Linked DNA regions of Arabidopsis thaliana. The protein of the gene in region 2 interacts with the protein of the main gene of each other region in a pairwise test. Each region holds a gene or a part of one and is shown on either strand. Other genes may lie near its edges.

What was found. Proteins that work in one complex are often made in the same cells at the same time.
Region 1: the proteins of ZW9 (region 2) and RABA1e interact in a two-hybrid assay, tested with the Arabidopsis thaliana proteins (one large-scale study listed by BioGRID).

Annotation. Positions count from the first base shown.
Region 1 is NC_003075.7:10,182,963-10,187,654, forward strand, and holds RABA1e (RAB GTPase homolog A1E), read right to left. Parts: upstream 2,422-4,692; 5' UTR 2,262-2,421; coding exon 2,041-2,261; intron 1,374-2,040; coding exon 941-1,373; 3' UTR 709-940; downstream 1-708. Other genes in the region: AT4G18440 (L-Aspartase-like family protein), read right to left, coding at 3,423-3,641, 3,730-3,798, 3,864-3,965, 4,047-4,190, 4,280-4,396, 4,485-4,692. UniProt on the Arabidopsis thaliana protein: Intracellular vesicle trafficking and protein transport.
Region 2 is NC_003070.9:21,611,303-21,616,548, reverse strand, and holds ZW9 (TRAF-like family protein), read left to right. Parts: upstream 1-2,379; 5' UTR 2,380-2,459; coding exon 2,460-2,848; intron 2,849-3,063; coding exon 3,064-3,233; intron 3,234-3,326; coding exon 3,327-3,609; intron 3,610-3,697; coding exon 3,698-3,849; intron 3,850-3,958; coding exon 3,959-4,155; 3' UTR 4,156-4,746; downstream 4,747-5,246. Other genes in the region: AT1G58265 (Cytochrome P450 superfamily protein), read right to left, coding at 5,161-5,246.

The DNA.
Region 1 (4,692 bases), on a different chromosome or scaffold from region 2:
GTTTCACTATTTGACGCAATTCTTAATTTTTGAAGTAGTTAAAATTTTGAATCTCCGGTTTCGTATTCACATGATGCTTAGTTTTTCTATTTTGCTGCATTGTTCTCATTTCTTCAGTACTAAAAAGTAAAAATGATCATAATTCATGATTTAGTTTATAAGAAATATAATAATATTCGCATGAATAATTATGATGATTGTCAAGTGTACGAAACAATAAACATCCTTAGACTTGGAAGGAAAGGTGTTCTCATAATTTGGACGGTGGACCTAACTTGCTTCCGTGTGGAATAAGTTATACATATCTTCCTCTTCTTCTCTTTGGTTTTTGGTAAATTATTTCAATTATTTCTAAAGTTTGGTAAGTTAATTTTTTTTTTGTTACGTTTAATTTCCTTTTTATATATATTGATGCGATATGTTTACTAATAGATATTTTAAACATGTACCTGCGCTGGTTCGAACTCAAAAACCCTAAGAAAAAAACTAGCCGATGCTATTTAGTTGTATAGAAAAGCTATTTTCTTGGACGCTAATAATCTTTCGATTAGATACGATAAAATGTTCATATCATAATTCACATTACTAATAAGTTTATCAGATTCTCGCTTTGTTAGCACCAGACTTTTGGTATCGATTCAAGTCGGCTACTCATGTCCTAAAGAGAAATCATAACTAAATCTTACACCAAAAGCTAAGATTATGGTTGTTTGATAGTTCCCTTTTTGGGATCATATATGTTTGATCAGTTCGGTATTAGTAAACTATCTTATTAACCGGACCAAGTCTTGTTCAATTCAATACAATTCTTCGGTTTGTATTATAAAACAAACCGGTCTCATAACCTTAAAATGAAGCCCCCAAAAATAGTCCAATACAACAAAACCAAAGCCAAAGCCTTCTTCCAAAAAGACAGTTTACAAAAACAAAAACAATAATCTCAACCTGAGCAACAACCAGAAGATTTAACAGCAGTAACATCATCCTTATTTCCGATATCAATGGTTTGTCCTTTAGGTAAAGACATCGGATCTCCAGTACCATCAAGAGCTTTACGGCTCATTACACGATAGATTTGAGTCAAGACATGAGTGAAAGCTTGTTCGACATTTGTAGCATCCAAAGCAGAAGTCTCCATGAAAAACATGTTTTCTCTTTCAGAGAATGATCTAGCTTCTTCTGTGGGAACTGCACGAAGGTGACGAAGATCGGCTTTGTTTCCAACAAGCATGATTACAACGTTGGCATCGGTATGGTCACGAAGCTCCTTGAGCCATCTTTCAACGTTTTCGAACGTTATGTGTCGAGTTATGTCGTATACTAGAAGTGCCCCCACTGCTCCTCTGTAGTATGCACTCGTGATTGCTCTGTATCTGTATAACAAATAAGTCGCTATTACTCAAAAACAGAGCATATAGAGAAGAAAGAGAGCATAGGAGTGGGAGATCGGTTTACGGTTGGTTAGTTTCGGCTATTGATTATATCGGTTAATAGAAATTAAAACCAAATAAAATAATTTGTAATCTGGTTTATTTTCCAATTTGTTCTTGATTTGAATTAAGTTATATTTGGTTCCTTTTAGCAAAAAAAACTTTTTACCAAGAAAGTTATATTTGGTTAATCTATAGAAATTGATTATTAAAATAAAATCATTATCTAGTCAAATATTATATCAGTGCAATATACTTATTCCAATTTTCCATACATATACATAATTAAAAGTATATTATATTTATAAAAAAAATCGAAATTGATAATTGAAATAAATCATGATCTAGTTAATATTATATTAATGTAACATAACTATTTCAATTTAATTTCCATAGAGATACATAATCAAAAGTAGAGGATTTCTAAAAAAATGCGGTTTATTTGGTTACACTAAATCAGTTTATATTGGTTTCAAAATAGTAAAACAAACAAATTTGTAAAATTATCCAGTTTGATTTTTGTTCAACCATTTCGGTTTGGTTTGGTTCAAAGAATGAAACAAAACAGAACATATAGAGATAAAACAGTGAAATTTCGAGGATTTATTACCTTTCTTGACCAGCGGTGTCCCAAAGCTGAGCTTTGATGATTTTTTCGTCGACATGAACACTTCTTGTGGCGAACTCGACACCGATGGTTGACTTTGACTCGATGCTGAATTCGTTTCTGGTGAAGCGAGACAAAAGATTGGATTTTCCGACGCCGGAATCTCCAATCAAGACTAGTTTGAAGAGATAATCGTAGTCGTCGTCGGCTCTGTAGGCTCCCATTATTAAGGTATTTGATAGAAGTTACAAAATCGTAAAGAAGAATTCAGAGAGATGTTGCAATATGATCTAATGAAATGAATGATGTGTTGTTGTGTTTTGTAATGAAATGAAATTATGGGTAGTGGGTAACGACGAAAGGGCTTATTGGTTTTGGTAGTGTTATAAAAATAAGAATAATATTAGGATTCAATCATTTGTTATTATTATATGCATGACTTAGCATATGTATATGTTTTGAAAGTCGTTGGAAAGATTAGAGAACAAACATGTTTGACGAAATCTTCGGGTTTATGGCCGCCATGAACTTGGTAAACGCAGAACAATATACACTTGCAGGAAAAAACAATATTATTATGTCTTCAATTCAATAATTCAATTTATAGCTTTTCTCAAATAAAATCACAGGGAAATTTGTTCATAAATAAAATTATAGCAATGTGTAGGAAGATATCTAGGTAAAAGATTTTTTATGGTATATTGTCATGAAATTTTCCATTTCTATTTTTAACTTCTAAGGATTTTTTTTATATGACACTAAATATAGTGTAGAGTTGAGATTATTGTTGGACACATGTACTAGACTTTTAGTAATAGATCAAGTCTAAAGGAAACTAGTAAGTTTGTTTTTGAGATAGATCTTATATTATTTATTTTAGACCTAAAAGGCTAAAACATTTGTGTTCATGTAAATGTTAGCAATAAATAGAAGAATTACTTAAAGCTCTTAATTGACAAACAACATTTTAACATTATTATTTCTCAGTTTTGTTTCTGTGGACAATTTATTTGACTACTATATGCATATATATTTGCTAGATTTTGATACCTACATAACACTTGGTTATAAAGAAAAACAAAAACCACTCAAATTGAATTTCAACTTGAGAACTCTTTATTATTTGACACCAATGTGTATATGACCTATTTTATTACAATAATTTGTATTGGTTCGAGAATCATTGACCACAGCTTATAGCTCAAGACTTAGATAAAACACAGACACTCAAAGAGGAAACATAACACAACAATGGTACAAGATTTTTCTTAACATTTTAAACGACGACTTGCAAGTCACCGACCTATAAATTGTCTCTGTTTTCCACCAATTTCGAAAAGAATACCATAATAAAAGAGGACAATCTATCACCACTTTGATCATCATCAATGTCCCAAGTGCAGAGCTTCATCCACGGCCAGTGCCAATGCAGCAGCAGCACCAACATATGTGTGTGGAGTTAGCTCCAGAAGTTGGTCTTTTGCTTCTGAAGGCAATTCCAAACCTTTGATAAACGTTCTTATGGTTTCTTCATTCACAGCTTTTCCTCTTGTTAGCTCCTTCAGCTTCTCATACGGCTCAGGGACACCGTATCTCCTCATCACCTTTATTTGATACCATAATACTTCTGTGGATTAGAGATACATCAAATATCTTGATTGATATAGAAGATTAGAAACTCGAGAAATTTACAGTTTGTATTGGTTCAGCAAGGACTTCCCAATTATCATCCAAATCTTCTTTTAACCGAGCTTCATTAACCTATATCAAGAACATTCTTAGTTTGTGACAAGTGGAAACATTTCTTAGGGCTACGGTAATAATACCTGAAGCTTCCCGATTCCCTGTATCGCACTCTTGTAAGCGAGAAGAGAGTGTCCTAAAGCTCCACCCATGTTTCTCAAGACAGTTGAATCAGTTAAATCACGCTGCAGATTGTACATTTTTCAGGCTTAGTTTACTTCCATCACTCTAGCTGAGATACATAGAATATGGAGAAATGTTAAAACCTGCATGCGTGAAATGGGAAGCTTCATGCTGAGAAAAGTAAGCTCTGCGTTTGCTTTCCCTAGATTCCCTTCGCTGTTCTCAAAGTCAATAGGATTCACTTTGTGAGGCATTGTCGACGATCCAATTTCACCCGCTTTAGTTGTCTGCAAAATCTCAAACAATGAGACGATTTTCCCATTCAGATTCAAATGATTTGACATCTTTTTTTTTCCTTTCTTATATTAACACTTGCCTGCTTAAAGTACCCTAGAGATATGTAGCTCCATATATCTCTGTCAAAATCAATTAAAATAGTGTTGAACTGGCTGATATTATTAAAAAGTCTAGCCATATAGTCATGAGGTTCAATCTGCAAAAAAAATACACACAGAACAATCAATCAGCGATGATCTTTATGAATTTGAATAGGATTGTTTGATCAATATAAACTATATTACCTGAGTCACGTATGGGTTGAATGTTAATCCAAGAGAAGTAACAAACTCCTCGGAAACATGAGGCCAGTCAATATTCGAATATGCGGAAATATGGGCGTTGTAGTTCCCAACAGCACCTGCAAATTTCCCCTTAATCTTAGTTTCTGAAAGATATCTCCTTTCTTCGCTTAACCTCACAGCAAAATTCGCCATTTCTTTCCCCAAAGTT
Region 2 (5,246 bases):
TTGTAGGTTCAGTGGTAAGGGTAAACTCGTAAAATACTTGCATAGAAAAATACTTAAATCTATAAGGCATATGAGATATGTCTGTTTTCATAAAGATATAAACTTAATTGTGTCAATCCCATAATTAATCCCTAAATTGTGAGTTGCAGTTTTAGAGTTTATGAGTCTTTTTTAAAAAAATTATTATGTTCCATTTTAATATATTTTAGTACCAGGTTTACTTCCCCTTTTTTTTGGGTTTTAACTTCTTTCTTGTTTGAGTTTTGCTTTAGAGATTTTAGTTTTTGTAAAGCAAAAATTTGCTCCTGATGAATCATGCCTAATGCTACCTGTTCTTATTGTCGATTTGGTAGTCTTTCATTGCAGCAAATATTCTTTCAATCACTTCTTTCAAAAAATCTACATATACATTTTTGCAGCCATTTTAACAAATAAATCCTGAATTTGGACTTATTTACAACTCAATGCCATTAGCATTAAATCTTTTCTCCAAAATAATTAATTTTACTTGATTTAAATTGTCAACCACATTATCAATCAAATTTAACCCTTAAAATTAGCATAAACATATTTGTTAACAATATTTTAAAACAAAGTTTTTTGTTAAAACAAATATTATTCTTACTAAACATTTTTTGTTTAAATAAATAAATCATGTATTTGAACTTATTTACAATCTCATGACACTGACATTAATTATTTAGGAATGAAAATATTTAATTAAAGATTTAAATCTTCTAAATCCTTGCTTTTAGAGTTATTATGTCATTACCTTAAAGGCTCAAAATATAAAATAAATAAATATAATTATTTAAATATTTTAAATTTATAAAACATTATTAATATTTAAAATTATAAAAAGTTTAATATATCATAATTTTTTAACATCATTATATAATATATAAAGTTTAAAAAAATCTCTATTCTTTCCGCCATAATTTGTGATTCGAAATTTTAAAAATAAACATATATTAACCAATTGGCGAAAAATGTTTGAGTTCAACGTCCCACATCGACTAAAATATTTAGACAATAATTCATAAACATATCATAAATAAGATTAACATTAATAAAATAATGGTTTTTTTACGGGACGGGTTTGGCGTGACGGGTTTGGCAGAACGTTACTTAATAACAATTGTAAATTATAAAATAAAAATATTTTATAGATAGATACAATTTGCAAAATTTTATATATATTAACTTTAAAATATAAATTGTCCCCGCGGTGTACCGCGGGTTAAAATCTAGTATTGAAATATTTTGGTTTCAATTATTTATTTATCGGGAATTGATTTTGAATTGGTAGTGTGAATTATTGGTGTCACTGTTATACCGCGCTGGCAATTAAATCGATAGGGTCATATAGATGTCATTAGGTAATCGCAAGAGTAATATATTTTATGGATATGGTAAGGGTTGATGCTTTGTCATGGTTTTTATTATTATTATTATATATAAATGTAAATATTAATGAAATAGTGTGTATATATATATATAATAGTTTTGGAATTACATGATGTATAATGTATATAGGGGTTGAGAGACCTATGACCGGTCAAAATTTGGGGGCCAAAGTAACAAATTATATATTTGGGGTTATTATAAACTGTTTTGAAATTTGGATATATTTTTCTTAGAACTAAATATATTTGGAAGCCTATTTATAAATCAGGTTTGCTGTAAAAAAAAGTTTTTAAAAATGGAGACAACATACAAATGTTTCATGTTGCTTCTTTCAGAGCCGGCCCGGGAGAAGCGTTGCCAAAAAAGAATAAAGACAAAGGTAACAAATAAACAAAGAAGACACAACAGTGAATTCATCTAATCCAAAGTTGTATGTGGTTTCCGAAATGCTTCCTTTGTCTTGTTCCGAATCTCTCTGTCGATGAACTTGAAAATGGTGTTTCACGTTCATTCAATAAAAAATAACAACCATAGTGTACACAGAGACTGATAGTGAAATAAAGGAAAAAAAAACTATAATCTGTTAAATTCAGATAATATCTATTATTTTTTTGTTTTGTTGAAAAATCAAATCTCTAGTAACATTAATGAGTATGAATCGTGTCTGGTAGTTGGTACGAATCGAGATCTCATCAATGGGTTTTTTAAGCTGCTTTGAGACGTGCGTAACACGAAGTTGTCCACTATGACTTGCTCTTGTACTTATAAGTTAAAATAATGATGCAGCAGAAAACAATTACTATTTTGTGAGACACGTATATCCCAACAAAACAATATGTCGTAGAACGTGCTAATTAATTAGTGAATACCTACGTGTCACGATCTCATGAGATTGGTGTATTACTGAGAACTAACGATCTCATGAGATTGGTGTATTACTGAGAACTAATCACTAATAAACGTGAATCTCGTGACACATATTATCATTATGCCTATATATACGTACATAAAACAAGACATTATTACAAACACAAAATATAGAAAAAGAAATAATGTATTCAGAGGAAAAGAAAAGCAGAAATTATGGTTCAATCTTTGTCTACTGCTTCTTCTGTTTCGTACTCATTGTGGAGGTTGCAAGATTCGCAAAACCTTATATCAACCTTCAAAACCTAATTGAGACGGAAGCAGTAGTAGAAGAAGGTTTCATGGCGGTGGGGAACTCAGGGAATCTTCCGTGTGGCTCGTCAAAACCTAGCTCTGCCTCTGTTCGTGCTCATGATGAACAGAAGCTCTCGCAAGCAGTAACAACAGATACGAGAACTCGTCCTCCAAATTCGTACTGCGTGAAGTTCCAGTCTTTTGTCACTATGGCAAAGCAGGTCAAAGAAAACGGTGGCAAGTATGAGTCACGTCCTTTCTCCGTCGGTGGATACAATTGGTACGTACGCGTTGACTTCCATTTCAAAAATGTTGAGAAACCATACCTTATACATAGAAGATATACATTTTTTTTTGTCAAAGGGTATTCATTTATATACTAGTGTTTTGATCATCTCCACTTTCTATGTGAAAGATTTTAACTTATTGCTCTGAATCTCACCCAAATTTTAATTTGTATATAATTTGACATATTTCTACTTAAAATGTTATAAGGACGCTCCTAATCTACCCAGTCATATACATTCCAACGGACTCGGGTGGGTACGTTTCGATTTACGTAAGAGTCGATAACTCAAGCCTCATCACCAATCCAAAAGATGTGTATGCAGAGATCACATTCCTCGCTTATAAAAGCAGTACAGACAAGTACCAAATAAGCCAGGGTACTAATTAACTAATCTAGAGCAAGTAAATATATATGTTTAAATCTTTTGTGGTTTGTTCAGACTAGTTATTTAAGTTTGATCCGTTTGCAGAGACTGAGGCCCAGCGATTTCATTTGTTTAAACAACAGTGGGGACTTTTACAATTTCTACCAATTTACTATTTTGAAAATCCGGCATATGGATACTTTTTCGAGGGCGAAAGCGTTGTGTTTGGCGTTGACATCAACATTGTTAAACCCTTTGAAAATTGGGAAGTGTTCTCTAATGAACAAAACATTCGTGACCCTATTTTCGAATGGAGACTCACCAAATTCTCTACACGTTTTCTTGACTCTTACACTTCTGATTCCTTTTCTTCCGGAGGAAGAAACTGGTACGTGTGACTTTCTTCCTCTTGTATATATATAACAATACGTACAAGATGTGTTAGTTTAATAATATGATGGTTTTTTACATTGAAGGGCATTGAAAGTGTATCCAAATGGAGTTGGAAATGCTACGGGTAATTCGTTGTCACTCTATTTGTTGAGTGATCAGTCAAATGATAAGGGTTATGTGGAAGCTAAGTTACGAGTTATTGACCAGATCCAATCCAACAATTTCGAGAAAAAAGGTTTGATATCTACTTTGTCAACTACTACTACTAATTTAAAGCTAATTAATTATAATTAATGAGCCTTTAAAAAATAAAAATAACTTTTGATTTCTTCCTATATACACAGTGGCGGCATGGCCCAATGCAACGGAGAATGGATGGGGTTTCGACAGGTTTCTATCATTTGCAGATATCAAAAACACATCAAAAGGTTTCCTAGTCAACGATACTCTCAAACTTGAAGTCCAGATCTTGTCCTTCTCGAAAACCGACTACTACTCTCATCAATCGTCTCTTAATGTTTTAACGGGAGATAGTACTTAGGTGACTAATCGTCGCTAGTGTAATTTTACAACTGGCTACTATCACTTTGCTTCATTGTGTTTTTTGTTTCTGTTCAATAATAATGAGTTCGAGCTTTCCTATGTCAAACTTGATCAATCTGATTTCACATATTGAATACCAAATTGGATAGGATGAAAGAGGCAGTCCCTAGGATGTTTTTTTTTTTTTTTGGATTTAAAGATTGGGTACGTAATCCATTCACATTTCCTTTTATAATTGTCCACTTCTTAATCGTTTAGTCGATCGTCTACGGCTTCAATAATTGTAGTTTTGTCCTTAGTAATTGATTATTCTTTTCACTTCGTTTTTCGTCCACTAATACAATTACTACAATGTTGTTCTTCTCCATAAACATTATCTACATCGATTCCTCTCTATTGCTTGTAGTTGTACAGTTGTCTACTGCGCTTAAACTTTTTGTTCACTTTTCATTTATGTTCCCGTCCTCGGCTTCAACTACTGTACTTTTGAAGATTTGTTAGATATACTAGGAACATGAACTGCTACTAAAAACTTGTCCACGGTTCCATCTTCGTGGACATCTGTATTTTGTTTACTTCGTTTCTCGTCGACTGCTACAACTACAGTATTGTTGTCCATCATCCCTTCTCCGATACATTATCTACATCCATCTTTCTTCGTTTCTCGTCGACTCCTACATGTTTGGGTGACAAATCATCAAGTGATAAATTATTATTGTATTAAAAGCAACCATTTTTATTGTATAACAACCATCATAACTTTCTTTCTGTCCACATTTAATGTGCCACGCCACACCATCATCTTATCTAGACGTCAACTGCTTTTGGCAGAGGTGTCAGCCTCATTGGGCGAAATGTTTTGTTTCCCTCCATAACCAATTAAAGGTAGTTTAGACATCTTCTCCTTTGTCAAAAGCTGACTCATTGCACAATTTTAAAGATATAAAAAATAGCATTGCCGACAAAATATTTATACAAATATGGCACAATTGGCAAAATTCCCTTAAAAAACATAAATAGTACTTAACAAGATTATATCACTTGATGATTTGTCACCCAAACATTTTCTAAAAATTCTTGATCTGAATT